Linked DNA regions of Struthio camelus. The protein of the gene in region 2 purifies or fractionates together with the protein of the main gene of each other region. This does not show direct contact. Links are inferred from orthologs where the notes say so. Each region holds a gene or a part of one and is shown on either strand. Other genes may lie near its edges. The genes, in order: IFT80, IFT57, IFT74 and IFT88.

Region 1 (6,828 bases), on a different chromosome or scaffold from region 2:
GCTTATGTCAACAGTTTATATATGAGACTGTGTTAGTATCTAATTTATTAAGAATAGAAAAATTACAGTTTTGTTTATATCTCGAGTGTATGCGTGCGTGTGTGTGTCTTACTGCATGCAATTAGATACATAAATACTATTTACTACGTGGGAAAGAATTCAACCTCAAAACTTTCCAGTAATACATTGACAAATTCTGCAGGGTATTGAACACCAGTGGTCTCAAACTAGGTCGATAAAAGCAGAGAACACTGGGTATTGCAATGAGAGTGTTCAACATCTCCAGAAACGTTGCCTGTAAAAGAGGCACTAAAACAGTAACATTAAAAAAAAAGCCACATGCAATTTACAAATATTTTACTATGGCATTTATGATTTAAAGAAAATGTTTCTAGTAAACAGGCTATAAAGAGTTAACGTACTGTCCTAAGGTTTATTCTGAGAGAAAGGATATGTTTTGGTTCCTTTAAAAGTGAAGTCTTCAGTCTCATTTCAGTTGTTCAGATGGAGCATTAAAGAAAGATGTTTTGGGTACGTTATAACTGTATTAAAACAAAATAAACACATATATAAGTAGCAAAAATTAAAAAGGAAGATGGCAATACCAAAATTAAAGGTTTTGAAATAAATAATATTACATGAGTATTGTGGCACAACAATCACCAACGTGGACCTGAATGTTAAGGGAATTCTCCTTGAATTCTCCTACACGACCGCACACATATCTGACTGCTTAGTATCAACACACCAGGCAAGTTGAAAAACTAATGTCAGCCGCATTTTGCTGAAACATTACAGGTTGAAACACTGAAGTTCTCTTGTGCTGACAGACAGCCATGAAGGTAGCTGGGGAAAACCTGGAATCACAAACGTTCACGTGATTTTCATCTTAAAATGCCTGAACAGAGAATTACAAGAAAATTTAGAGAAAAGAGCCATGCTATGAAAATAACGCTGCTGTGACCAAATGATGATCTTCCTCTTTCACCCACAAGTATTTGGAACCTCCATGATGTTTTGCTGTAACACTGTAATTCCACAAGATGTTCAACTGGGTCCCACCCTCTCATCTTCTCCTTCCCTTTGGTAACAGCAGAGGCCTTTGTGAGTCTGTGCCTGGACAGGAGAGAGGCACTGATCCAGGTTAAACCTTCTTTCCCCCCCCCCCCTTCAGGATGGAAAGAAGTGAAGAGGAGAGGATCGGAGCAGGTGGTATACTCTGAAGACAGCATCACGATGCCCAGCATGACCTTCTGATCTTCTGGAATTTCTTCAGCATAGAAATTACTATGTGTTACTGTGCAGAATTTAAGATGCCTTAAGAGGAAGACAGTCCTAAAACATGTAATTTTCTGTGCCCAAAGGATAAAATAAGCTATTTTCAGCGCTACTTTACATTCATTCTGATAAAATGCACACAACATATTTTTAAGTACTTCAACATCTTTCATATTTGAAAGTCTACTTGCTTTCTCCTACCCTTACTCTAGAAATGTGTGAGGACCTCAATATCAAGGCACTTAAAAGGGGCCTGGGTTTATGTTGAACTTTCAAAGCGGCCTTTGAATCATGTCTTTGATTTCTAGATGGTGGTGATGGTGTCACTTAGCACCCACATCGCTATTCAGCACACGCTACAAAGCTTACCACCGGTGAGTTAAAGAGCTAGTCTACATACCATGAACGCTAGAAAAAACTCTACAAACATAACCTTAAGACTGTACCCAGCAAAGAAAAAAATATGGAGTAAAACAGCACTAAAATATGTCTTCTTCAGTTTAACGCAGGTATCACTCCAGCTTAACAGAGTATCTCACATTTATTTGGATGCGCGGCTCTTACTTACCCGCTTCTATTTTCTGCGCACGTCATGCCTAAACGCACTTTTTGAGTGGCCGCTTGGTATTTTTTATTGCTTATTTTTCATTTAGAGTTTTAGCAGGCAGGCTGCTACCGTCAGCTTCCGCTCCCCCTACGCAGGCCTCCAAAAAGCCTGAAAAAAGTCTCACGTGGATTCCGCGTTCTTTTATCCCCAAAGACACCACGGGAATTTTACAACAGGTTTTCGAAAACCGCAGCTCTAAACGCTCTTGGGGCGTACCTTAAGGAGAAGGAAGGCTCACCCTTATTTTACGTGTTAAACAGGCAGCCTTCTGGGGGGACACAGTCGCACCGGTTATCGCCGCTCGGAGCGCGTTCCCTCGGCGCCCGCAGTCGACGCCGCCGCTCTAACAGGGCTTAACGCCAGCGCACCAGCCGCAGATGCTGCTGTAAGGAGGAGGCCGCGCTGGAGGCATCGCCAGGAGCTCGGCTCACCTCCCTTCGCCCGCAAAGCCCGTTTTGCCCCCCCTCCTTTTTTTTTTTTTTTTTTGACAGCGCAGTCCCACGTTGTCTCCTCTCCAGTTCTCCTCCGGAGCGGCTCCATGAGAGTTTTAAGGAAAAAAACAAAAGGGGGGGGGGGGAACGTGAGGCAGGCAGGAGGTTGAGCAAGGCTGTGGATGCAGCGGGTGGGGAAACAGGCCGCGGGAGGAAGAGCGGGACGTAACGCGGTGCTTCCTCGGGGCAGGAGCTGTCCGCGGCGCTTCCAGCCCCGCCGCCGCCGGCAACACGCCAGGCGGCCCAAAAATTCCCCGTCCTCCCCGAGGAGGGACCTTCCGCCACGCGGCCGCCAGGCCGGTGCCAGCGCAGCCCCAGCGCCCGCTCCCCTCGGGGGGGGGGGGCTTCGTCGCTCCTACCGCCGCCCCCGACCCGCCGCCCCGTGGCGGCGCTGACTCAGACCCGCCGCCCCCGCCGCGTTATTTTACCTGAGGCAGCGGCGGGACGGAGGGAGGGAGGCGCCGGCGGTGGTGGCGGCTCGCGAGCCCCAACGGCTGCCGCTGCCACGCGATTCCCGCCTCGCCCGTCCCCGTCGCAGCTCCGGCGCCGCCGCGGCGAAGCTGCTCGGTCTCTATAGCTACTTCCCGCGAGACTTCTTCCTCCCCTCCTCCTTCTCCTCTTCCTCGCCCCACCGCCACCTCACGGGCCCTCCCCGGACCAGGTGACGCGACTCCATGGCGTCACCGCGCCGCCCGTTAGTTCACGCCGCTTTAGAAGCGTGCGCTATTTTTATTATTATTTTTTTCCTATTTTTTTTAATTTTTTTTCTGCACGTTTTTAAAAACCGTCCGTTCGCGCGGCGGCCCCCAGCGCCTCGTCGCCCGGCAACCGAGCGCCGCCCCCTGACCTATTTCTATTAAATTTAAAATAAGCCTCTTTACGCCACATACGGACGCGCTCCCCCAGGTGCCAAAAAAACAACGTGGCTGCCCCACAGAGCCTGTTCCCTTTCCCCCCCTCCCCGCCACCACCACCAAAAAAAAAAAGCGAACGGACTGATTTTGCTTTTTTTTTTGTTGTTTTTTTCAGCCCTCCCCGTGTCCGCGCAGTAACGGAAAACAAGATGGCGCAGGAGCGGGGCTTTCCCCCCCCCCCTCCCCCTTCTTCTTTCCCCTCCTCCTCCCCGCGTTCAAACCCGCGGCAGGCCGGCCCCCTCCCTTCCCAGCATGCCCCGCGCCTTTCTAACGAATTTCGGTTCGAGTTTGCCGTTTGGGCGCCATTTTCGAGTGTGGAAGCCGCCAAGCCGCGGCGGGAGCCGGGACCGCCAACGCCGCCGCCCGCTGCCGCCCCCCCGCCGCCCGGCCCGCGGCCGGGCGCTGCCCGTCCTCGCAGGTACCAGCTCGGCGGGAGCAGTCGGGGCGGTTTTGCGAGGCAGGGCTTTCGGGTAAGAGCCGCCGGAGGGCAGGTGGAGCCGGGGGAGGTGGCGGCGGCGGCGGTGGGGGGGGGGAAGGTGGTGGTGGTGGTGAGCGCCTTCCTTCGCCGCAAGCGGAGCCGCCGTCGGGAAATTTCCCCGGAGCGAGCAGCAAGTTTCCCCGCGCAGACGGTGCTGCGGAGGGCGGTGGCGGGCTCTTTTGCCCCGTGCCTTATTCTTCCTTTCTCCTCCTCCTCCTTCCCCTCACCCCACCCTGAGCGGGCAAAAGGCGGCGGCAGCCCCTTGGCCCGCCGTCGGGGCTGCCCTGCGCGGGGCTCTTGTTGAGGGGCGCCCGCCGCTTGGTGCCCGCTTCCCTTCCCCCCCCCCCCCCCAACCCCGCCGGCGTTTCTGTCCCTGCGGGTGTCGGCAAATGCGTGTGAGGAGCGAGGGGAAGAGAGAGCGTCGGGGAGAAAGCAGGTTTTCCCCTTGTATCCTTACGGACCGCTAATCGGAGACCAACCTATGAAGGGGAAGTGATATGTTTTCGGCGTGCCCGAAATACAGGCGCCCGATTTTAATCTGCTTACGAAGCAAGGACCCTTCCGTAACTAGCTCTGCCTACTCCTTTTATGCCTGAGGCGTGAAAGCTAAATCGTTGTAACTCTCTAAGGATTTTCTTAAGACCGGGACAAAGGTGCAGTAGGATTCCTTAGAATGACGGATTGATTATTTAAAAAAAAAAAAAAAAGAAGGAAATTTCACTGACATCGGTTATCGCTATCAAATTTGATCAGCTTTTAATAAGGAAGTCCTTCTGCCTGTCTCTGACTCTTCTTTTCGCCAAGCCCTCAAGAAAAACGGCACTTTGGCAGGAGATCATTGAGAGATGCTTTTAACAAACACCTCTGAGTTGACTTGGGGGAGGGGCTCGACACGAATATGTTAAGTTTATTAGAGAGTCTGTATATCTGGTCTATCACAATTTAAAAGTTGAAGTCGAGTAGTTACGCTTGTTAATTTTGTTGGCGTATACGGAGGAAAGGGGTTGGTAAGGTAAATAGGTCTATATTGCACAACTCTGAGTGGAGAAGCTTTGGAAAAAAAAATCTGGTACTTTGAGAGACTGTAATTGTTTGAGACAGCCATTGCGGAACACTTCTTAACAGGGGCATAGACTCAAATTGCCTTAAAACGAATCCTCTCTCTTATTTCCCCCCTCCCCCATTGTCCCAAATGAAGGACTCTCATGAGAGTGTGGGTTGGGGGTAGGTCTGAAAACGTCAAATGATTGGCACCAATTGTAAGATGACTTTCTAACCACGTCAGTTTTTTTTATCTTGTGAGAAGTAAACTTTCTCATGTCTGTTTTTCTCCAAACTGAATTCGCCACTTGCTGCAGTTTAAACTCTTTGGGGAGAGTTTCGCTCCTGCAGTCCTCTTGCTTCTCATCGGTTGCTTTCTATTTGCACTTTTTTGGGAGCTGTGCTTAAGTGGCAGCTGATGGACTTTTGTAAGGTTTCGTTCTTGATCAGATAACTTTAACATCAGAACTAGATTAACGTATTTTGTTTCGCTTACTCGGTTAAATGTTGAACACTAACAGTAGAGGTTGTGTTGTATTTTGCAAAGTGAGGGTATTGATCTAAACTGCTCCAAAGTTGAGACTTTACTTAAATTATGTATTTTTTTCTTAATAATTAGCATGGAGTGTTGAAAATAAAATGTGTGTCAAGTCTGAAAGGTGTATGTAAAGCGTGCTTCCAGAAGGATATAGCCATATGGCTACTCAGTTTGTTATTGCAAATGTATCTTTAACTCTTTTGCCCCCAGCAGCAGGGTTGCTCTCTCTGAGCATAGTAACTGCTTTGAATATGGCTGTATGGGTTTTCAGTAGGTAAATTCATGCCGTATCTACCGATTAGGGTAGGTCCATCAGTTTTGGGGGAATGTTTTCAAATCTATTTTTATGAGACTAAGCTTTGGGTGTTTTTTTTTTTTTTCCTTCCAAATTCAGAGTTTTGTCTTCAAAATACATCTAGACTTTGGTTTCTGAATTAGTCAAGCATCTGGACATTCGTATAGGTATATTTCTTAGGGGATTGTAGCTCAATGCTTAGATCACGGGGTTTTCTTGTTTGTGTTAGCAAAGGAGATAGATCCCTTCAGTGGTTTGATTGCTTGGAATTGAAGGGGAACAGCCAACAGAAATCATGCCAAGCAAGAGCACCAAAACCTCTACAGCAGTCCAGGCAAAAGGCAGAGAGCCCTTAGAGGAGTCCACCAGTGACATGAACGTGGACAAAGGTGATGGACAGCTTGGTGAAGTACCTCCACAAGGTAGGTTACTACATTATGATTCTGATGGCACGTAAACTTGACAATAGCGCCTGTGGAGCAATGGTGTTCAGTTGAATTTACAAACTATTCCAGGTACTCTGTTCTTTCTCTTCTAGAATATTGAAAGCCTTGAGTCTTGGCAAGTTTAAACTTTTTAAAATGGAAAAGAGGGCTTGCAAAGAGTTAAAGTATTTGGACCGGTCCTTTAGTACAAGTGCAAAAGCAATTGGTAGACTTTTTTCTAATAAATCTTATACTTGAGATTTCTAATCTGTAACATTGCACTTAAGATTGTGGTACAACAGCCGGATTTTTCAAATTTATACATAGCCAATGGTATGGGATTTCTTGGAATGGAATAAACGTCAAGTTTATTTACTTAACTCTTAAAAACGATTTGACTTTCTTTTTCGTGAAGCAGGGTTTTTTTGTTTTTGTTTTTTTTTTTAAGTTTTTTTGAGTTGAGCTTTTTGCTGAAAATGTCTGGAAAAGCAGAAGTTAGTGTCTCTTTAGTTAACCAGCTATGTAATTATTAAAGCAAGGTATTTGACAAATGGGTTAATATGTTGAAATTTGTGACAAAGTACTGTCTATTTGAAGAAAAAGTTGTTAGTAACTGCTGACTGCTTTGCTTATAAGTAGTTGATATCCAGGGGGCCAGTTTGTTTTCGTAACAAACTTCCTGTCTTTGCAGAGTAGTTGTGCTGTCATTACAGCTTTCAGAGCATTGTGCAGCGATCCCCAAATCTTGCAGTGAGCACGCT
Region 2 (7,197 bases):
ATAACTACTGTCACAAATAGCCTACTCTAAAAAAACGACATGAACATGATCTACTGCTAAAGCTTTATGCTTGTACTCATGACACAGGAAGCCAGGGTGGATTTGTCTCATCTACCTTTTATTTGCTTTAGAGTAAGTTGAAAAATGCTTCAGAAATACTTATTTCTCCCTAGTGAAAGGGGTCTAGACAAACAGCTCAAAGAAAAGTATCTGCATTTGGGTCATATGAATATCCTCTCTCATGTTATATAAAGATTATTTTATTCCTCCAAGTGACCGCACGACAACTTGAACGGCACTTCTGTGGGGAAGAGAGAACAAACTTCACGAAGCCTGGTTGCCTAGAGATGTGACCTCTGTCCGCGTACTGTCCTATACCACAGTAACTCTACCTTCTGTTCCTTCCTTAACATCCCCAGTGACTCTTCCTGACAACAGCAATACATCCAGCTCCTTTTATTTCAAAATCCCCCAAACTTCTTCCCCTTCCCATGCCCCTCAACTACCACGTGAGCAAGAAGGTGTAGCTAAGTAAGCGTATAAGCTCAGATCGCAAGCATGCTTTTGAAGTGTTTCTTCCGCTATCCCCCCCACCTACTGTGCTTTGGGTCACATTACAGAGCGGGTATACAAACTAGGCTTATTCTGGATGAAGGTAAATTGAAAGATGTGGTCCAAGAGCGCGTTTCGTGGGCTGGAACAATTCAGTCCACACGATCAGACTACAGTTAGTCCCGCAAAATGCATGTAGCGTGGGCACCAGTTACGCAGAATCAACTGTTTCCCTTTACGATACGGTCACTCACTAAAGCAGACAAAGCCTGTGTCCGTTTCCTTCCCCAAAATATACTGATGGTCAGACAGCTGCCTAAAAACAGCTTATAAAAGCTGAGCTCATACTCTAGACTCTCTCTTAACAAGAGACTAATTTGGACTACTTTTTTCCCCTAACAACTGCTGGTTTTAGAAAATATACCTGTTTGATATACTTCTATCAAACCTAGCTGAAACTGTCTGATAGATTTGAAAGTCATTGGGGCAGATGAATGTTGCGGTCACATCAGTCCTTTTCCTAAACGTCTCTCTGGTGCCATCATTTAAAAAAAGAGTTTTGTTATATATGCAATAAAGATACACCAGAGATGGAAAGTTAGACTTACTTAAAACAACAATGGGTCCCAGGCCTCTCACAAATACACCTACCCCACAAATAGTTACCCTGACTAATAAAAAAAAAAAATACACTCAGGTGCTAACAGAAGTTAACAAGAGCTGTTTGATCTAATATAATGTTTTCACTGCAAGTTATCACTGAAACCACAGCATAAACCACAGTATTGTATTCATTATGTGACCAACTGTGCCTATGAAAGCAACTGTGGCCTTCAGCTTTTGTTTCTTCCTGCATCTGTAAGTAGCAGGAAAATCAAGTAGCATTTGTGCTAAAACTGATATTCAAAATACTTGCAGAAAAAAGTGACCATGCAATGAGTGAACCTCATGCTCTAACAAAAATCATCACAAGTTCTCTGGTGATATGAAATGACTGTAGTTTTAAATGTCATCACCAAGTAAAGAAATTTAAATTATTTTCCTTTTCCCCTACAGAGCATAAAAGTAAGTTTTTAAAAGCTTTATATTTTTATTACATTTAATGTATTTATTCTCACATCTTCCTGTCCTAACTTCTGGTGTACGTCCTCCATCTCCCTCATTCTCCTTAAAAGTCTTTATAAATATGCTGTTACAACAGGCACTCCCACCTTGACTGAAAGCAGGATTTTTTTTTTAATCTAAAGTGTTAACCGTGATATGCCACAGCTATGAACAGACAACAGTTTTTTAAACCAATCTTAATAATAATTCTTCATCTTTAAAAACATCTGTAGGCCAGCCTCTTGACATTGTGTATTTTAAACATAACAACCAACATAGAAAGCCAGAACCATCAAGTTGAATGTGTTCAGCTTTGCTAATATAATTTTTGTCTTCCAATAATTGTTATCTTGCCTTAAATAAGACGCCAAACCCGGTGGTATCATTTATGTGAGATATGTGAAGACTTCTTGCAAGATCTATGGGGCTGTTTACTATAGCCCAAAATGAGGAATTAAATAGATTTAAAAAAAAAAAAAAGAGGAGGGGAAGGGAAAAAAAAGAAGAATTAGAATACTTGGGATTTTGGGATTTCTTTCTACTAACATCTGGATTTAGCATCTTTGATGTGCATATTCGTTGTCACGTTTTGATGCTTTTCACTGCAACCAAGAAGGCTACAAACTTTTAAGTCAAGAGTTTCATGCTATGCCTCCAACACCTACAGTTTAAGTCTTAACCCAGCCAAACTTGAGACGTGGGCACCACAAGCGCGACCAAGATGATAGCCCACTGGCCTGCAGCAGCCAGCACTCGTGAAGCCCCCAGTCACCAGCCCTTCCCACGTGCCCGCACAAACTCCGGGCCCGCAACGCAAAGGGGCGCCTGCTCCCACGGCACAGACGGCCGCTGAAGCCTTTGCCTCCAGTGACAGCACACGGTAAGGGCACAGGGGACGCCATGAGAGCTTCCGAAGCGGTTCCCCTCCCCTCCCCAGCTGTGCGCCCTGACAGGACTGGGCCCCAATTCCCCACAGGCAGCGGAATTTCCCAGTTTTCCCGTACCAGAAGGAGGAGAAGGAAGAGAAGGAGGAGGAGCAGATGGCGGGCGCCGCTAGCAGCAGAGCCCCTGCCCTGCTCCCCCCGCCCTGCTCCTCGGGCCCTGCTGGGCGCTGGTGCGCCCTCGGGCCCGCACCTGGAGAGCGGCCGCATGTTGTGACGCCGCAGCGCCTCCTCCTCGTAGGTGAGCAGCTTCAGCTTCTCCAGCACGTCCTCCATCAGCACAAACATGTGATAGGCCGCGCCCGGGCCCCGCTCCGCCACCACCGCCGCCGCCTCGTCCCCCCGCTGCTCGCCGCCGCCACCGCTCCCAACCTCCTCCGCCATCTTGGCGGCAACCCACCCCCACCGCTGCCGCGGCAACCGGCTCCACCAATCTCCAGTGCGAGCCGGGCGCATCCAATCAGCGCTGCGTTAGGGCGCGCTGCGGCCCCGCCCACCCCGCGGAGGAGGTGTGGGGGGGGTGGGGAGGACGGACCGTAAAGCGTCGCCGTGGTCGCTTGGGGCTGCGCACCGAGGGGGCGGCGGGGACCGGCGGGAGCCGGAGCCCCGGCGGGGGGGGGACGGACATGGCCGCTAGTCGGGAGGGTGGCTTGTTCCCCTCTGCGGTGAGCCCGGGCGCGTTAACCGACGGCCAAGCGCCGCGCTTTCCTCTGCCCCAGTAGGTGGCCGCGGGAGCAGGGGGCTGCCTCGGCGGGTCTCGGGCCGCCGTCTGCGGCGGTCAGGCAGTCCCCAGGTGTTGATGGCAGGTAGCAGCTGTGTGCGCTGGCGGCTGGAGTGAGGGTGTGTAGTGCACAGCTGGAGGTACCCCCGAGCCTTGCGGTGGAAGGGGGTTAGGGCTGTGCATCCGCTGTAACAGACGGCGTGCTGGCGGGGCCGCCCTCGCTGGCGGGGTGTGAAGGAAAGGCGATGGGAAAGCCAGTTCTTGGAGGAAAGCAGCAGACCAGTTGTTAGTTAGTTAGTCCTGCTGCTAACGCTTGTTTCGGGTTTTTTTTTTTTTTTTGCAGAAAAGAAACTTTCACTTTTTTCCCCCTGCTTTTTATTTAGTTAATTTCAGTGGTGCTATCGGTTCCTTCTGTTGGAAGCCAACTACTGTGGGACTTCGGTTGCCCGGAGAAAATGAAGCACTAGTGAGTTACTAAGAGAAGAGGAAATCGGTTATCTAATGCCGCAAGACAGCCTGATGCGCGTACTGTTCTCCTTTAAGATTACCAGCTCTCCAAGAACGCTGTCGTACTGATTTGCATCTTGTTTTATATTTAAGATTGTAAGTTCTTTTTGTCCGCTGTCTATACAGAATTTACCTCTTAATCCACGAGTGAGATTCCTAAATTATGCATTAATAAAAATAAGAGTATTGTCAGTCTTTCTACTGGGGCTACAGTGCTTGTGCTCTGGCAATGCGCAATTGCAATCCCAAAGCAGTGTTGCCGCTGCTAGCGCAACCACGTTTTTGGCCGTAATTAATATTTTTTTATTACTCAGTTACAGCTTTTCCTGCGTTATTACAATGTTTGTTCAATTGAGCTAGGCGAAAGAGGTGGTTAAGAGCAAAAGCAGTGAGCGCCGAGGGGTGGAAGCTTTGGCCTTTATGAAGGGCGTTGATGCTACTGCGCCCATGCACTCCCAAAGGATTGGTATAGAAACAGTTACTCTCTGTTGTGGAAGAGGAGTGAACTTGCGGCTCATATAGGTCTGGTGAGTGTATGTGTGGCCATGAGAAAAGTTGGAAAGAATGCACTTCTACCATTCTGGAGGAGAAAGGTCTCTGGAGGAGCAGTTCGGTTTATATGTGTCTCTAAGAAACAGCTGGCTTACTTGACACAACTGGCAGGACTCTGAATTGCTGGGCTACTTGTGAAGCCAGAAGAGGTAAAAATATTAAATCTTTTAACAACTCCAGTGTTAAAAGTATATGGGCGGGAGGGGGGCTAGACACATATATTGAGGTAAAAGCCAGTATTGTAGGTTCTCTCCCCCCAAAAAAAAAAAAAAAAAGTTTGTCTGTTTAGAATGCCGGAGCCGCCTTCCTGCCGGAGCGTTTCTCAGCGTTTCTCACGTCGGGAGTTATGAGTTAACTCATAGAGTTTTAGCTGGGGGAAGGCAGAGGATTGATACTACCTAAAATGGCTCCAGAAGATTTAGTGGGAAAATTTTGGAAAGTTAAGGCTAGTACAGGATTTTATCAGTATGTGCTTAACGTGGTTTTTTTTTTTTTTTTTCAACTTTTCCATGTTTGATTGTCTTGTTTGTTTGCTCGAAAACAAACTTGTTTATAAAACTCGAAATCCTCTTGTATTTCCAGTTCACGCAAGGGTGCGTGTGCTTGAAATGTGCTGTTGTTCAGCTACCTTGATAAGGAATAAATCAGAATCCTTTCTATTAAAGAATAAATAACTTTTGACAGTGCTATGAGAATGTTACAATATGCGTGGCCGCTCCAAAAGCACGTGACCAAGAAAAGGTTATTAAACAGAGATTGGTCCCAGTATCTCTGTGATAAGTAAATGCTTTTGATCAAGGTGCAGGTGGAGTGCAAAGTACTGCATGATACAATACCTGGTGCATGTGGTTTGATCACTGACCAATAAAAAAAATTTTGCCTTTTGATGTCTCTTTTTTTTTTTTTTTTTTTCCAGTGGGCAAAACAAGTTTCCTGATGCCCCTGCCACTATCTCAGCTGTTTGGTGCTTGACCTACCTGTATGTGTTCTTGGGACAAGCATTTTAGTGCCTTGCCTTGCTGTCAGAAAACCTGGCTGAGCTTCTGCCATCAAATTGAGTCTGTGGTTGTTCTATATGAAATAAGCCCTGAAAAGTGGAGCAGCAGTAACTCGCATTACTACAGTGATCTTAATTCTTGTTGAATGCTGTTCTTTTAAATAATTTTGTATTGGTATTTCACCAAACAGCCACATACAGAATATGATTTCTTGGTAATGCCAGTTCGGTCTGTAGTGAAAAGAAGACTGTTTCTTCGGTACCTTGCAGTGGGACTCTCAATATCAGCGTATATTTACCTCATATTTATAAGGCCCCAAATTTTGAAAAGCGTATTTGCCAGAGCCTACAATCTGCAAGATTTTCTGTAGAAGTGCAGAGGGTGGAATGGTATTAATCTTTTGGTATGAAGAAAGAAATTGGCAAGTGTGCAGGGAGCTAGTTTTTAGCTTTGAATGAAATTAACTGAAAACTTGTATTTTTCAGAACTCCTCTTTTGACAACCATGGTTATACAGACCTAGAATGGGACAGATGTGAATCATATTTTCCTGATGCCCCCTCCCAGCTGTCACTGGCGGAAGGACTTTCTGACTTAGAGTAGAGGTTCTTTTTGCTCAAAAATAAAAATCAGGCAAGGACTAGTGGGATTTTGCTTAGCCATTTTCTAATCCACAGGAATTTTGGCATCCAGAACTTTCTATGGCAGCGGTTTCTACACTTCAGCCATGGTATTTATTTCGTTTGGTGTCATCCTAGTTTCAGCATTGGGGGACCTAGTGAATGGTCTTTCCCCTGTTCACCTTCTATTCTACCCTCCTGTACTGTCTCTCTTCTAAATTTCAGAGTCATTAAGAGCATAATTAATCGCTATAAGGAAGCTGTTCTGTAACTTACAGCAACAAACCTTTTTCTCAAGGCTGTTGCGGGAATTACGCAATTGCCACCCAGAATTGCTGGAGGAATTACTCAGTTGTCACCTCCAACTGTTTTGGCTCAACCCTAGGTCTCTACTTATTTTCCCAGTTCAGCAGTGAATATTTTTCTAAACAAAAAAAGTGGTTTATTATGCACAATACAGGTACAGCTTCAGCTGGGTGCCACCAAGGAGGGACTCCACCCACAGGCTCCTGGTTTGATTAATCTGGTTACAACCCGATCGCAAGCACCCTCTGCCATAGTCTGATTCCTATTAACCCATCTCGCGACTTCTCTTACTCGCTTTCTTGTGGTCCGCTGGCACTCTCTGTTGCTGCGAGGGGTTTCTTTAGGTCACCTCTGTGACTGTTACCTGCAACTGTTAAAATGTTCCTTGTTCTGTAAAAACAGGCTCCAGCTGGCCTTGGCTGCAGCCTAAGGCTTCAGCTGCTTTAGTGACTAGTACTCTTGCTCTTTTCTTCTTACAACATGCTACAGTGGGAAAACCCAAAGCTAAGATCTGTGCTAAACGGGAAAATTTCCAGCGAACTGGCTCCGCTGCTGTATTGTACTACAGCACTACAGAGTGCAGTTAGAACAGGTGAGCCAGATGCAGGCCACAAAGGCAGTGCAGAGGTACCGTTGGATCCGTGTTGTTCCCCGAGCATCACTGCCAAACTGCACAAGCTCTCTGTTAATAACGTGTCAGGTTGCTTACTGAAGGAAAGTTAGCATTGACTCCAGTTCCTAAAGTTCAAGCATCAAGCATGACCTATCTATCGCATTAATCAAGTCTGGAGGTGAGGGACAAGCGGGCAAAGGTGTTGATCAGGAAAACATGATGCACACCACTTGCAAATGCAAAGGGAAAAGAAGGCTGATGTTAGCAGTTAACTGCTACTGGGC
Region 3 (7,131 bases), on a different chromosome or scaffold from region 2:
CCTCTGCCCTAAACACAAAACAAAAAGCCAAACTTACAAAAGGAAGCACTACATATATTAAAATAAAATAAAATAATTATTTAATGGTTCCCTAAAGCTTGCACAGTATCCTAGAATATAGTCTTGTGACTGAAAAAAGCCAAAATTCCATTAGCTGCAACACATCTCACCTTTTCTCATACGACAGATAGACAGAATTCTCTTGGTTGTACATTTCTACTTCTTTTTGCAGCTTGTTAATTTCTGCTGTGAGGTCACTTATTTTGCTTCTGCAAAAAGGCATTAAACAAAAAAGAATTATTCAATTTTAAACGTGCAACTGAAACATAGTTGAGACAGTGGTACTTTATTATCAGTTATGTGCAACCAGTAGGTCTGCATCATGTTTCTAATCAGCTATTTGAAAGAAGAGCTGGAGAAATGAGGAAAAAAAGCAGAGTAGTTCTATCAGATAGAATCCGAGACAATCAACGGAATGTTTGGATATGAAATAAAATGTTTTGCTTTTTGCCCCATCACTAAAAGAGACACGAATTCTTCTCAGGCTGATTGGCAAAAAAACACAGAATCTTTTCACAGAACATGGCTATGATCCCTTTTTAAAAACAACCTCTCTTAGGACTGATCATTCAATATTGCAATGTGATCACGTGACAAAGCAGCATATGCAATACAGTTCCACAATGGCCTTGCCTTTTTTAGTGCTAGCTCAACGTATAATCCAAGGACTGCCTCTAACCAAACAGAAGCATACACCAAAAAGTCTGTCATCTGAAATGCTGCTTCATACAACTGGAGCTTTCAGACCTATCAGGTGGCACAGAGTAAGCTCAAAAAGTCTGACGCTCATGTTACTAATACTGCGGAGAGTGCATTTAACTTAACAAGCCCAACAACAAAATGGCCAAAATATCTACTTGTATCTAGACACAAGCATAAAATTCCTCTCCCCTAAAAAGCATGTCCAAAATAGCCTTCATAACTCTTGTACTAGAAATACCATAAATGAACACCACTTATCCCATGTTATCATTAAATACAACTCTTAACTTCACGTTGCTGCATTTCATTCCTTGGAATAAAGCAAAAAGGGACGAGCGCACTAAGCCTTCCATTGTTAACACATACCTCAGCAGTCCAAGATAATAGGTTTTATCCATTATCTGTCTCTGAGGACCTGTCAAAGGAGAGCAAATGATATTCTGATGACCTGTAAATTATGGGGGGGAAAACACACCCATCTGCAGTACTTACAAGCAGTAAATTGCCACATCCTTAGTATTCTCAAATGATTTTACCTGGTTAAAATAAATGAGGGCAAGGCAGAAATTCATTTTAGACTGCAGTAGAGATATACATTGCCCAATTAGCTATATGAAATTTGCTGCGTAACAAAATATTTTTTATTGTTCTGCAGTGCTGGAAGAAGATAAAGCTTATATCCTCCTCTTCTTTTTAAGGATTTTTAGTGAGATATGAACATCATAACAAAGCTTAGACACAGAAAAGCCTTTTTTTCTGATTGCCAAAAACAAAGAAAACCAAGGAGGGATGTGTTAATCGCCCTTTTCTTTCTCCTGCCAGTCATAGCTATTCACTCTGCACTCTGGAATAAAAAAGGTTTTCCTCTAAAATCTTTTAAATATTACTTTAAAAATATTTCAGACATGCTGATAGCTGTCTTTAGTAAAAAATACCTTTCATTCCCATTTTCATTCCACTTAATCCCTGTTGTGTCACTGGACGGTCTGCAACTTTAATCTGAGATGGCAACACTCCTCCAGTACTTGAAGAACCACCACGAGAACCAGGTCTTGATGTACTAGGAGGCATCTAGACAAAAACAAAAAAAATCTCAACTCAGAATTATGAATTTTTTATCCCTGTGCAACTGTCAAATCAATTAAACCTTAACAGTGAGACTCCTTTAAACTTTAGATTGTTCGCCTAGGAATCTGTCAGTATTTGTACATATCCCAGTAAACAAGCTTTAGTCAAGTGTCCAGCTGCAGGAAGGTAAGTGATTACCACTGACCAACCTGTCCACTGCTATTTCCATCTGAAACATTGCTGCTTTTAAGATATACCAGGTGAACTCTTGATGCAAGACTTCCTCGGCCCCTCTCACTCAACGTTACAGAGCTTACAAAGCAAGAAAACCTACATTTCTTCCTGAGAACTTATCAACCCAGTCACGGTACCCATGGTTTGTCTCATGAAAAATTACCAAAACCTGGTTAAAAATCTAAATACATCAAAGTCAACATTCAATTTTTTAACACACCGCTGTTCCTGTTCTGGTTGCGGATGGAGTCCTTAACGAAGAGGCAGGCCTTGCTGTCACCCCTACTCCTCCTCTTGAAGAAGGACGTGCTGTTGGAGGCCTGTGGTTGCTGGCCATATCTGTTTCCTTCTGAACTTGCTCCTAGAAAGAAGCATAATAAGTAGTGCTTTGATTTGCAGTGATTCTTAAAAAGTACCAGAGAAAAGAGCTAGAGGCAGAGGGGCGGCGGCACCCAAGGACAGCCAGCAGCCACCGAGGGGCGCGGGTACTACGCGCTACCCGCGACCGCCATGGCCGCCCGGGCGGACACAGATACCCCGCAGGCAGCAACGGCCCCTCGCCCTCACCGGACACCCAAGCGGCCGTTAAGCCTCCGCCGACAACGACGCCGGTATCGCAGCAACCGTCGGGCCAACCACCGCGGCTCCCTGCTATCGCGAGATTCAGAAATCTCGTTCCGGACGGCGCTTGCAAGGGGAGAGGGGAGGACGCGCTCCCAAGCTACCCGTGAAGACTACAACTCCCAGAGGCCCCGCGGCGGCCACGCGCCTGCCCGTCTTGCGCTCTGTGGCGCGGTCCCTGCTGGGACATGGAGTCTAACGCCCTTCTCCCCCCCTCCCCCGTGCCTGATGACGCCTCTTCCGGCGCGGTGGATGGCGGTTTCCGGAAGCGGCGGCGGCGGAGATTGTTGCTGTGTCAGAGCGCCTCGTCGGCCTCCTGCGCGCCGCCGCCATGGCTGGCGAGGGCCGTGTGTACCGGCTCCGCTGCTCCCTGGCGGGGCATGGTCAGGACGTGCGGGGCCTCACCAGCGGCCTTTTCCCTCAGGGTGGTTTCGTCTCCGTGTCCCGGGACCGAACTGCCCGGCTCTGGGCTCCCGACGGGTGAGTGCTGGGCCGCGCCGCCGCCTTGGCCGCCGAGCCAAGGGGGGCCGCGCCGCGGCCGGGCCTGGGGGAGCAAGGGGCGACGGTTTAGCTGCAGGTGCCTTCCCTGGGCCTTGCCGCCCCGGCGAGGGCCCCGGCGGTTGCTCCCTCAGGAGCTCGATGCCGGTCCGCGCGGACTGCCCAGCTGGCAGCCGCCGTTGCCGGTCTTGGGACCGCTTTGCTTCATCGGCTGCGGCGGGGGTGGGGGGGAGGGGGGGAGATGCGCCTGGCTTGTGCGCGGCGGTAGTGATTTTTTTTGACTAGTGTTTTTGTCAGGAGTTCAGGGTGAGCCGTCAGGTTTGTGGATGGCCGTGGTGCTTTTTTTCCCCCAGAGCAGGCCATCTTTTGGGGAACGTGGTGTTTGCCCAACCATGGGCTGTATTTCGACGTTTCAGTATTCTTTATGCAAGCTGGTAATCTCTGTGAATGTAGCATTGCTTTCTAGGTGATGTTCGGTGTCGGTTTCATCTCCCTCTACTCAATGTCAAAGTAATTTTACTATGTAAAACTATTCCTATATGGATAATAGGGCACTGTATTTAAAATGTTTTACGAAAAGTCTTTAGTCCTCTTGCTGAACAGATTTCTAAGAACATGAAATGAAACATGAATGAAACTACAGACAAAGCACAAATAGGCCAAGACAGTGGAATAGAAAGGAAATCTGTTATTTTGTCTCATATTCTTGCTACACAGTGTGGTTTGCAAGCGGATTTGCCAGTCGTTTAGTGAATTTTTCAGTGTGTCTTTATGATCAGAAGAGGTACTGCTAAGCAGTGTGGATGTGAGATGGTGGAGATACAGGTTACTGTATGCTGAAGTTGCCAGGCGTGCGTGTTCTTTACGCTGCCTTTCTTGTGAAGCAGAGATAATTGGCATGCTTGCATACGTTTTTATTAAGTGGATGTATGCTGCTCTGCAGTTAAGAGTGAGGAATAATAATTTGCTACATGCTGTTGGATTGTACCTCACTAAAGGAAAAAGTTTTTAAATTGCTTAAAATTTTTTTGCAAGAAAGGAAGTCTTTAGTTCTGACCTCTCATTTTTGAGGGTTGTGAGAGGAAGATATAGGTAACTTAAAGTCATAGTGTAGGTATTGATCATCTTTCTGCTTTGAAGATGTGGGATTACAGTAGACAGGGTTCAGTAGATAAGCAAACTACTATATACATTATTTTTATACTTCAAATTTCAGCAGAAGGTACATCATTACCTGCATTTTTTCTGTATAGCTTTGGCAGAAAAGGCAGAAAGGTAAATTTTAGAATTTAGAAAAATATCACAGCCTCCCTACCTCTTCCAAGCTTTAGAATGCAAACATGAAAATGTAAAATGGTATATGGTTTTTTTGAAATAAAACCTTTATCAAGTGGGGAAGATTACCGCTTCTCCCTCCCCTTCCCTCCTCCCCTGCCCTTGTTGAGTGCTCTGCCTACTGAGGCTGGCTCAAGATGGAGAAGTAAGGGTGCTACTTGAATCAGTTATAATCCATTAATTATTAATCTGCTATAGCGCTCATAACTAAAAGCCAGTGAATAGATTTTACAGTCAGTAAGCTTTCTTCTCTATTTACGTAGTCTGCTATTGTTACAGTGTACTGGAATAAGTATTTCTGTCTTCAGACAGCCAAGAATTTCTTACAGAGAAATTGTAGCTACAACTACTTCTGGTCACATTGGCCATAGTGTTTGCCAATGAGCAGGAAAAATATAATTACGTCCTTCCAGGCCCCTCACTTTTTGATAAATAAGTGAAAAACTTTAACTATTGCTTATTGGGCTAGGTTTTCAGAATAAATTTTTCTCTTAAATTATCATCTTTGTAAGTAATCCATAGTGTATTATTTAACCCATTGTAAGGATAAGTATTAATTCAAGAATTGGATTGTCAAACACCTGTTATATTTCAGTGCCTCAAATAAGTAATTTCTGTCATGACTCTAAACTGATTATCGCATATGTTTAGTCTTAACAGGGGTTTTACTGAAATGCACTGTATGAGTGGCCACTCAAATTTTGTATCTTGTGTGTGCATCATACCTCCAAGTGACCTGTATCCTCGTGGGCTGATTGCAACTGGTGGCAATGATCATAATATTTGCATTTTCACAGTTGACAACCCAGCTCCTCTTTATGTCCTGAAGGGCCATAAAAACACAGGTATGTAGTAATTTTGTTTTAGAGTTTGTTGCATAAAAGTTTTTATGATATGCTGGAGAGGAAAATAAGTTGAAGTTGTAAAACTGTATGTTGAATTCACTGGTATTTTAATATATTGAACTGTTTAACTACAGTCTCTACAAATACGATTTTATAATTTCAGTTCATGCAGTTCCAGTCAGTCGCAATGACTTCCTAGTTTGCACTATGAATGTATGATCTTTTCCTGTATAAACTCTCTATATATTATATCACATGCCAACTTACAGGCGTAGCAGAATGATGTTCATTTTGTCAAGAGCTTCATGTTTAAGAAGCAATCCATTTAGTCTGCTCTACAAGCCGTGTGTTTTGTTAAGCATAATTCTGTATCTAAACTGATAGCAGTAGCAAGAGTGAGTTTCCTAAACAGATAAAGAAACTTTCACTCTCTGGTTACTCAGACGAGGATCTAATATTAGTTGATGCTCTAGATACGTAATGAAGTCTAAAAGTACATTGCAGAAATTTTCCCTCTCTTCATTCTGGTCAATGCAGCATGTGATGTTTAACACGGTATTACGTACCCTTCCTTGAGCAATATAATAAAATATTCTGCATTTTTCATGTTAGCATACTAAATTCTTTTTTTGTGAGCTGATCTAGTATTTGATACACCTTTGAATGGTCTATTCTCATAATTATAGAATGCAAAATTTATTATTTCAAGTTTTGGACTCTTTTTCTGCTTTCTTATATCATTATATAAGATGGCAAGAAATAGCTTATGTACTTGGATGGGAAGCTGGGATGGGGGTGAGTCAATAACAGAACATGTGACATGCTCCCCCCAGAGTTGTAAAAAGGGATGAGGGTGTTCTAAAGAGGTTATGTACTGCCCCCTGCAACCTAACAATGAAATGTTTAGAAATAATTAAATTAATTTTTACAGTACTGTGAAGCTCAGATTAATCATAAATCTACTTTAGAAATGGGAAAAACTAGGGCATGAATAATTATTTTGTTTGATGACAAGGCTGGAATACGATCCAGTTCTCACTACTGCATCACAGAAGCAAGACACAGAAGGCTGTACTCTTCTTTTATGAAAGTCGGGTGGACCATATACTCTGCTCATGATTTAACTGCTTTTGTGAAGTTATTGGTTATTAGAACTTTATTTAGCACTATAGCGGTTTTATAGCAGCGTATTACTGGAGCATTTGCAGATTATTATTTGTTAAATAAATCTTTGAATTTAAGCACTATTTCTCAGTAAAGTATTTTGCCTTCCAAGAAGATGAGTTGAATACTTTGCTATGAAGTCTTGTTTCCTGAGGACATAAATTAACACAAATTGACAAAATCTTGGCTTTCTCATTAATCTTACAAGGAAATTGTTGTATTAATTCTCTGTCTTGACTGATTTTTTTGCCCTGCTTGTCAACTTATTCTTAATTAAAGGAGGAAAGAATGGGTGCTAAGAGAAATTTAGCTGCTAAATAGAACGCTGCTAATAGAACTAAATCTCCTTAAATGAATCTGCTTAAATTACAAGTCTAAGATTGCTGATAATGCAGGAAACATATCAGTGTTGATTGGCACCTTCATTTCAGTTTGCAGCCTTTCATCCGGGAAATTTGGCACGTTACTAAGTGGATCATGGGATACAACAGCCAAAGTGTGGTTGAATGACAGATGTATGATGACATTACAGGTATGAAGTTCTGCGTGAGTATTAAACAGATGCTTTATGAATTTAATTTTGTCAACAGAAATCAACAATGTT
Region 4 (6,826 bases), about 100 Mb from region 2:
AAAATCAGGTTTAATATTTTGAAATCTACAGCCCTACACAGCAGAGAAGTTCATTCATGGTATGCTTTGGGAGAAAAAACATCAGTAGCCATGCCTTGACCAAGTAAAGAGTTGTGCACTTACAAAAGTAACAAGAAATGTAACTCACTGGAGGAAGATGCCAAGATAAAAGGAGATCATTTTATGCAAAGGACTAAACGGCGCTCATATTTAAGGCAAACACCTCACTGTCATTAAGAATATCTGTAACAGCGAACAAAAACTTACCCCAAATGCAGTAGCTACAGGTCTTGCAGCTGATGTACCAGGAATTTTGGCTGTCATCTGGGTGAAGAAAAAAAAAAAATAGTAAGCAATCACATGTGTAACGGACAACATAAAAAGACTAATAATTATGAAGTGAATTCATAGAAATAATTGTGCTTAAAAAATTGTTACAGAAAGGAATATCACTGTAGAACCACGTTGTTCTGTGAATAAATAACATTAATCAGAATAGTTTCAGCTCTTCTTTAGACAAAAAACATATATTCCAAGCACAGTGCACATGCTAACTTTATATTTCTTTAGAAAAATTATGTAAAATTTAAGTCACAGCAAAACTAATGCAAGCAAATAAATGTAAATTGTGTGGAAATGGAGGAAAAATAATCAGAACAACTGTTTTTGTGAATGAGACTTTATAGTTTCTTATCATTAAGGTTACCTATCAAGACTAGCACCTCTGTGAATAGAATATTAAACAGAAAGTCCTTCCAGAACCTCGTTTTGCTCTTTAACAAGCCTTTAACTCATTTCCTCAAACAAGAACATACTTTTCCAAACAAAATTCCTTGCTAGCCTAACTCCAGAGCATAATGGAAGCGGTGCTCTGCTAATTTTTACTTATTTTTCATATAACTGAAGCTTGTATCTTCATGTTAGCAATAGACCAGGAAAAAAAAAAAAAAGTGTATCAGAGCCAAAAATAGAGCTAGGGCTCCAGAGAACTTCTGTGCTATTTGGACATATTTAAAAATATACTTACAGGGGGTCTTCTACCATGACTTGTTCTCACTGCCTGTTGAAAAGCTATATCATTTTCTAAATCCTGAAAAAAGAAAAAGAAAAAGAACAACCCTCTAACCCCATAAAGCACAGCACTCAAAGCCACATTTCCAAATTATTAGGACTATTGAAAACAGATAGGTAAAAGATAATCATTCTTCAAAAATACTTCACCTGCATACAACTGAATGATAGGTTGTATTGCAAATAGGTAACGATTACATTATTTGCCCTATCTCTTTTGATATTTTACATTTTAGGGAGAAATGTAAAAAACTTATTATCCCCTGAAAAGCAGTAACATCCTATGATGAAGAAGAGCTTAAGTGATAAAATTTAGCATGCGTAGAACTTTTTTTCCTGTCCATAAGCTTATTATTAGCACTGTTTTTAAATTTTAACTGACATTAATATCCATGTCATGCCAATATATTAAGACATCATCCCAGACGCATTATTGATCGTACAGAGACCTGAGGGGAGAGGGACTCCACTCCATTTAGTATTTCTTGCTAAATGAAGAAAAACAGACTTCAAAGCAGCAGTACACTTGCACATAAGTGTACCTACATATTCTTATCTTGAAATTAAAAACTAATCCTATTCAAAGGGAAGGTGGGAAACAGCAAATACTTTTACCTCTGTGTCAAAAGTGGGATTATAATCATTGTATCCAGAATAAAGATCATCTTCATCTGCCTCTGGAGCCAGGTGCACATTTCGCATCATTTTTATCTGTGAAAACATTAAACAACCCAAATGTTATCTGAGCATTATTATGTATGCCTTAAAAATGTAAAATATAGACAGGAACAAGGTTTACAAATTCAAAAGCTCCAATTTAATTTTGGTTTATATCTGCTGTCCTTGATATTAAAAATATATATATATATTCCAAAAAAAGGGTTCTATTGAAAAAGCAATGATATTAAGGGGCACCATCCAATAGAATCAGGTTGTCAAGCACTTACACCATTGTCACGACAAAATTTTAACAGCAGTTTTAAACGGACATACTCATCTTATCATTAAATGCCAATGATCACTACAAGTAATTATAGTATTCATAATGGTACTTTTACATTCTCAGATAATTCAGCTTTGAGCAAATTGTGAGTTTTGCTATTTCTTTTAATTAGACCAAACCATAGTAGTCTAATGAAAGATATCACTTCCAGCTCCACATCTTCCTTCACCTGTGTCCTTATACCAACATGGCTGCAACTAATCTCTGTATGCAGAATTCTTCACACAATTCTGTCATTTCAGTTTAACCAGCTTTTTAAAAACTGTAATTAAAGAAGTCTAGTTGTCAATATCGTTCTTCAGAGGTACTTCGGACATCTACTAAGGGTTGTGTTTACATTGCAGCCTTTTCCTCACTGAAGGAACTATTAAGGTCTCTCTGCCTGGCTACCTACTTTCATAAGAACTTAAGAAGGTGACAATTTTTGATTCCATTTGTAGTATGAAACACAGGCACTCTACAGTGATCCCGAGCCAGAGTGCCGCACATCCCGCTGAGGGCCAGCTCCTCTCGAGCAGCAGCACGCAACCCCTGGGCCTCCCTCCGGGCCATGCGCGGCGCCCCCGCGGCGCAGGGCGGCATCGCTCCTCTTCGCGCGTTCCCGCGGCCAGGGCCCGCGGCAGCGGACGGCGGAGGGAGGGCCCAGCCGCCCCAAGCGCCCAGCGCGGAACGACGCCGCAGGATCGCCGCGCCCCGGCGAAGAAGCTCCGGGGACCAACGCTGCCACACCAGCCCGCCCTCCGCCGTGCCCCGCCGCACTCTCCGCCCGCGGCCTAGCTCGCCGGTCGCCTACCGGCTGCCCTTCCGCGGCGCGGCGCGGCCGCTCGCAGCGGAGGCCGCCCGCTCTCGGCCGGCGTTGACAAGGGAGATACCAGCCACCACGATCCCCTAATGCACCGCGGCTGGTTGCTAAGATACGAGCACTCGGCTGCTGTCGAGCGTGCGCACCGCGATGGCGCATACGCAGAGCAGCCCCCGACGCCTTTGCCCTCGCGTGGGCGTCGCTGCCGTCCGGGAAAGCTCGGCGGGAAAGGGAGGCCGCGGGTCAGCCCGCGCCGCCGGCTTCCTGTCAGGGCCTCTTCAGCGCCGAGCGGCTTCTGCCTCTGCCGGGGCGTGCTTAGTCCTGGGGTTAAAAAAAGCCAACCCTCACCCAGTTGCTGAAATGAAACAGCCACAAAATTCTGCCCTCCCAAAAGCCCAACTGAAGGGAGCAACTGGCACAAACCCAGAAATCCCCCTGACCACCTTTCAGACAGGAAATAACTGCTGCTAAACTCTTTGGGACAGATTTTTTCAAATGAATCAGTGCAGAACGCTGAGCTAGAGCTAAATATGAACTAAGTTTGATTTCTTTTTGATCATTCTAGGACTTACTCTGACCTGATCCCACAAACATGTATGCATACCCTTGATTTTGTGAATAGCTCTATTTCCTGAGTTAGGTTACGCATGTTTCCAAAAGGGCAGCTTGTGTGCTACGGATTCAAAAACACGTCACGCCATGTAAGCATGAACAACAGTTGCTTCTCCCTGTGCTTTCCTCATCTTTCAGAAGAGGAATGGAAAACCACTGCAGAGGACGGCAGTCTTGTCTGGCTGCCTACCTGTAGTCCATGGGATAAGGAAAACAATAAATAGTAAAATAAATGCAAACAAATTTAGTTGTCTGCTAGACATTGCTATTCTGTGTCTGCAAAAAAAAACCCATCTGAGAGATATGGATAATATTTATCTACTCTAAAAGGCAGATTATTAGGATTAATGACTTAATGTTTTTGAAACATTAAGCAGAGAGCATTTGAAATTCAACAGAACGGGCAAAAGAAATCTAGACTCCTCCATAAGTTAGGATTATAGGATCCTAGCATAATTCATGTTGGGATGGACCTCAGGAAGTCTCTCGTCCGACCTGCACTTCAAAGCAGGGTCAGCTGTGAGGTCAGACCAGACTGCTCAGGGCTTTATCCAGTCTGGTCTTGAAAACCTCTCATCAGCTTTTTACCCTAGCTGCCTATTTTTATCTGCCCTCTTCCTCTTTCCAAAACAATTGTTTTATCCTTACATCTAGTTTAAATTTCTTTGTGTCTTCCCAAGAGTACAGCCAACCTACTATCGTTCTGTGGTGAGAACTGGTATTTTATGCTACAGACTTGCTATTTGCAAGAGAAAAGCACTATGGTAAAGTAAACGGCTTCCTGAACGGCTGCCAAACCTCCTGCTCTATGAATGAGACGCACACAGGTGTCTTATACTTCCGCGTCTCTCATCACCATACTGGCATTTTAGACATTTGCAAGTGCTTCTCTCTAGCTCCAGACTACTATGTGTCCTTTGGAGTACAATGGGGCTCCACTGGAACGTATGTTTTTTCAGCCTGCAGCCTACACCTATGGGTGGCGGACTTCCACCACAGTCATCGTAGGACTCATCGGATGTTGTGGAGTCTCGGAGACCAGTGTTCAGATAAAGTGAGAAATCTGCTCTCAGATCTAAAAGTCCCAATTAAAAAAGTGAATAAAGATTTCTATCTGCCATAATCTCTGAAACTGAATAAAAAATTAAAGCTCGTAAAGTCTTCAAAGAAAAAAAGATGATTCATTTCTTCTACTATTTTCACTGCTTTCTCTTGGTTGGCTGTTATGGAGAACCTGACAGGTTCTCCAGCTGATTAGTAAATCATTACACTCTGGGGAAAGTAGCGATCCATAGCTGTTTCCATAAATGGAAAACAGAGAGAACAGAGGAGAGATCTCTGAACTCTGTATTATTTTTGAGAGATAAAAAAACTTTGAGCCCGACTGTAACCTGAACCCCTGCCTTATGCTAATAGCCTAAGAAAGATATAAGGCCACTACGCAGTGGTCAGTCAGAATACCCTCTGTATGATCAGGTTTTGTGAGTGTTATGCAACCTCAGAACTCACCTTCTTGCAGCCTCCAATTCCTTTCATAAGAGATAAGGCACAGAAGATATAAGTGAAATGTATTTCTACTTCAGCTCCCAACAAGAGAAACAAAGAAAACAAAAGTGTATTAACACTTTATCACTTCTTGCATTAACTTGTTCAGGTTCCATGCATGAACCACTTTCACACAGAAACTCTAGACCTGACACTTTTGGACATACACATTTTTTACCTGGAGTTTTTGCAGAACAAGTATTTTGCAGAGTAACAGACTTTAGCTGGGAGAATTTTTAAGGAGACTAACCTGTCGTAAATGATGAACTTCAGCATAAAAAACATATATATTCATGTTCAGTCTCCCTTTTCTACCTGTGGCTCCTCGTTTAAATTTGAGACTATGGCTTGTAGATTACCTGTTTGTCCTCAGACACATTCAAACTGAGCAGTAGATACATAATGTGGCAAGAGCCACTTGTCTATATCCAGAACTTGGGTATACTGGTGCCCAGCATGTTGTGATGTTTCGATTCAATTATTTGGGGCACTGGAGGGAAGGGGGCCATGTTAAGGAGTCAGTGCATCTATATTTATCCTTGTACATGAAAGAGTGGCAGGACACAAGTGGAACCCAACCATATTGCCATATTATCAAACTCCCTACCCCTCCAAAATAGGGTGGACACATTGAAAGCAGCTATAGGAAATGGTCCCTGGCCGCTGTGAATCCCAAACCATACTGGAAATTGTTTAGGAGAATGATAATTATCTAACACTGTGATGGGGCTATTTTAACAATTTAATAGCATAGACAGTTGATTCCAGGCCCTGGCACAGCCACATGTAGCCCACATTGCCCTAGTGCGCACCTGGGGCCAGGAGCTTGCAAATCCTCCTTGGTCCACCTCATTAGGCCCTGCAGTCTATGTACTGCTTCTGAAGTCCTCACAACATCTTTGAGTCCCAACAGGCCTTTCCTATGCTTCTAAAAGCTGTATCAATCTACAAACGGTTTTATGTCCTATGAATTATAGAATAAATAGACATAAATGCATAAAGATTTAACATAGGACCCAGAAATATTAGGATCTTCTGTGCCAACACTGGACCTTTCTCACTAGACCTGATTTAAGAGATGTTCTAATGAGATCATGCTACAAGGAAAAACCCAAATGATATAATTGACTTCACTGGCTTTGGCTAAATCCTGACTACAGCCTGGAATGCAAAACTGCCGCGAAGTAGTAAATAGCCTAAGCAAAGTTATATGGTATAAATTCCTACTCACTTTAAGTTACAGTAAGTGAGCACTATCACTAAGTGAGGTTGTCCCACTCTTTTCTCACCTTTCTGATCTTCATTCCTGCCCTGGGTCTGTCCTCTGCCTTGCATCAAGTTAGCTGTTTGTGCAACTGAAACAAACTGAGGATTCGATTGGATTTTTGTCCCGTTATCTTTCAAGCTGTCAAGTCCTTGATCTAGTTTCTTCAGCGAAAATTTATGGCAGTTTAAAGAGACCCTGAAACTATATTCTTTAAACAGTAGACATTTCCTTGCCTTTAAAAGCACGGTGAGTGGGTATCTTTTTGTAGCAGTAACATTGCAAGTAAGGACTAAAACTGTTCCAGCAGCTAATAATTTGGGTTCAGAGTTACTGGCCACAGTCTGCTTGTCATAATCACTGCTAGTGCGTACCTTACCCTTGCTCTTTCAGTTTAACTGTTTTGCTAGTCAGGCCCTAATGTGTTTTTAGGAAATGGTCTGGATTTAAAAAATAATGCTCCCATTGAAAACTTTAGAAAGTGAGTAATTTTCTAGTATTGAATTCTGGACTAACAAAACGTTCAGAA

What was found.
Region 1: the proteins of IFT57 (region 2) and IFT80 purify together in Homo sapiens (affinity purification with mass spectrometry; 3 studies listed by BioGRID and IntAct, counting the BioPlex papers as one, with this or other methods). This does not show direct contact. The link is inferred for Struthio camelus from reciprocal best matches to the Homo sapiens genes IFT57 and IFT80.
Region 3: the proteins of IFT57 (region 2) and IFT74 purify together in Homo sapiens (affinity purification with mass spectrometry; 3 studies listed by BioGRID and IntAct, counting the BioPlex papers as one, with this or other methods). This does not show direct contact. The link is inferred for Struthio camelus from reciprocal best matches to the Homo sapiens genes IFT57 and IFT74.
Region 4: the proteins of IFT57 (region 2) and IFT88 purify together in Homo sapiens (affinity purification with mass spectrometry; 3 studies listed by BioGRID and IntAct, counting the BioPlex papers as one, with this or other methods). This does not show direct contact. The link is inferred for Struthio camelus from reciprocal best matches to the Homo sapiens genes IFT57 and IFT88.

The regions. Positions count from the first base shown.
Region 1 is NC_090950.1:31,179,374-31,186,201, reverse strand, and holds the start of IFT80 (intraflagellar transport protein 80 homolog), read right to left. Parts: upstream 3,021-6,828; 5' UTR 2,805-3,020; intron 2,269-2,804; 5' UTR 2,124-2,268; exon of another isoform or gene 2,102-2,123; intron 543-2,101; 5' UTR 492-542; coding exon 455-491; intron 1-454. Other genes in the region: SMC4 (structural maintenance of chromosomes protein 4), read left to right, coding at 5,938-6,064.
Region 2 is NC_090942.1:101,228,901-101,236,097, forward strand, and holds the start of IFT57 (intraflagellar transport protein 57 homolog), read right to left. Parts: upstream 3,002-7,197; 5' UTR 2,982-3,001; coding exon 2,791-2,981; intron 2,537-2,790; exon of another isoform or gene 2,468-2,536; intron 1-2,467. UniProt on the Homo sapiens protein: Required for the formation of cilia. Plays an indirect role in sonic hedgehog signaling, cilia being required for all activity of the hedgehog pathway.
Region 3 is NC_090982.1:5,382,931-5,390,061, forward strand, and holds the start of IFT74 (intraflagellar transport protein 74 homolog), read right to left. Parts: upstream 3,021-7,131; 5' UTR 3,019-3,020; coding exon 2,911-3,018; intron 2,895-2,910; exon of another isoform or gene 2,632-2,894; intron 2,628-2,631; exon of another isoform or gene 2,601-2,627; intron 2,426-2,600; coding exon 2,285-2,425; intron 1,834-2,284; coding exon 1,698-1,833; intron 1,178-1,697; coding exon 1,129-1,177; intron 270-1,128; coding exon 171-269; intron 9-170; coding exon 1-8. Other genes in the region: PLAA (phospholipase A-2-activating protein), read left to right, coding at 3,066-3,165, 5,316-5,363, 6,959-7,059. UniProt on the Homo sapiens protein: Component of the intraflagellar transport (IFT) complex B: together with IFT81, forms a tubulin-binding module that specifically mediates transport of tubulin within the cilium. Binds beta-tubulin via its basic region. Required for ciliogenesis.
Region 4 is NC_090942.1:203,815,874-203,822,699, forward strand, and holds the start of IFT88 (intraflagellar transport protein 88 homolog), read right to left. Parts: upstream 3,026-6,826; 5' UTR 2,868-3,025; intron 1,783-2,867; 5' UTR 1,777-1,782; coding exon 1,687-1,776; intron 1,091-1,686; coding exon 1,028-1,090; intron 325-1,027; coding exon 268-324; intron 1-267. UniProt on the Homo sapiens protein: Positively regulates primary cilium biogenesis. Also involved in autophagy since it is required for trafficking of ATG16L and the expansion of the autophagic compartment.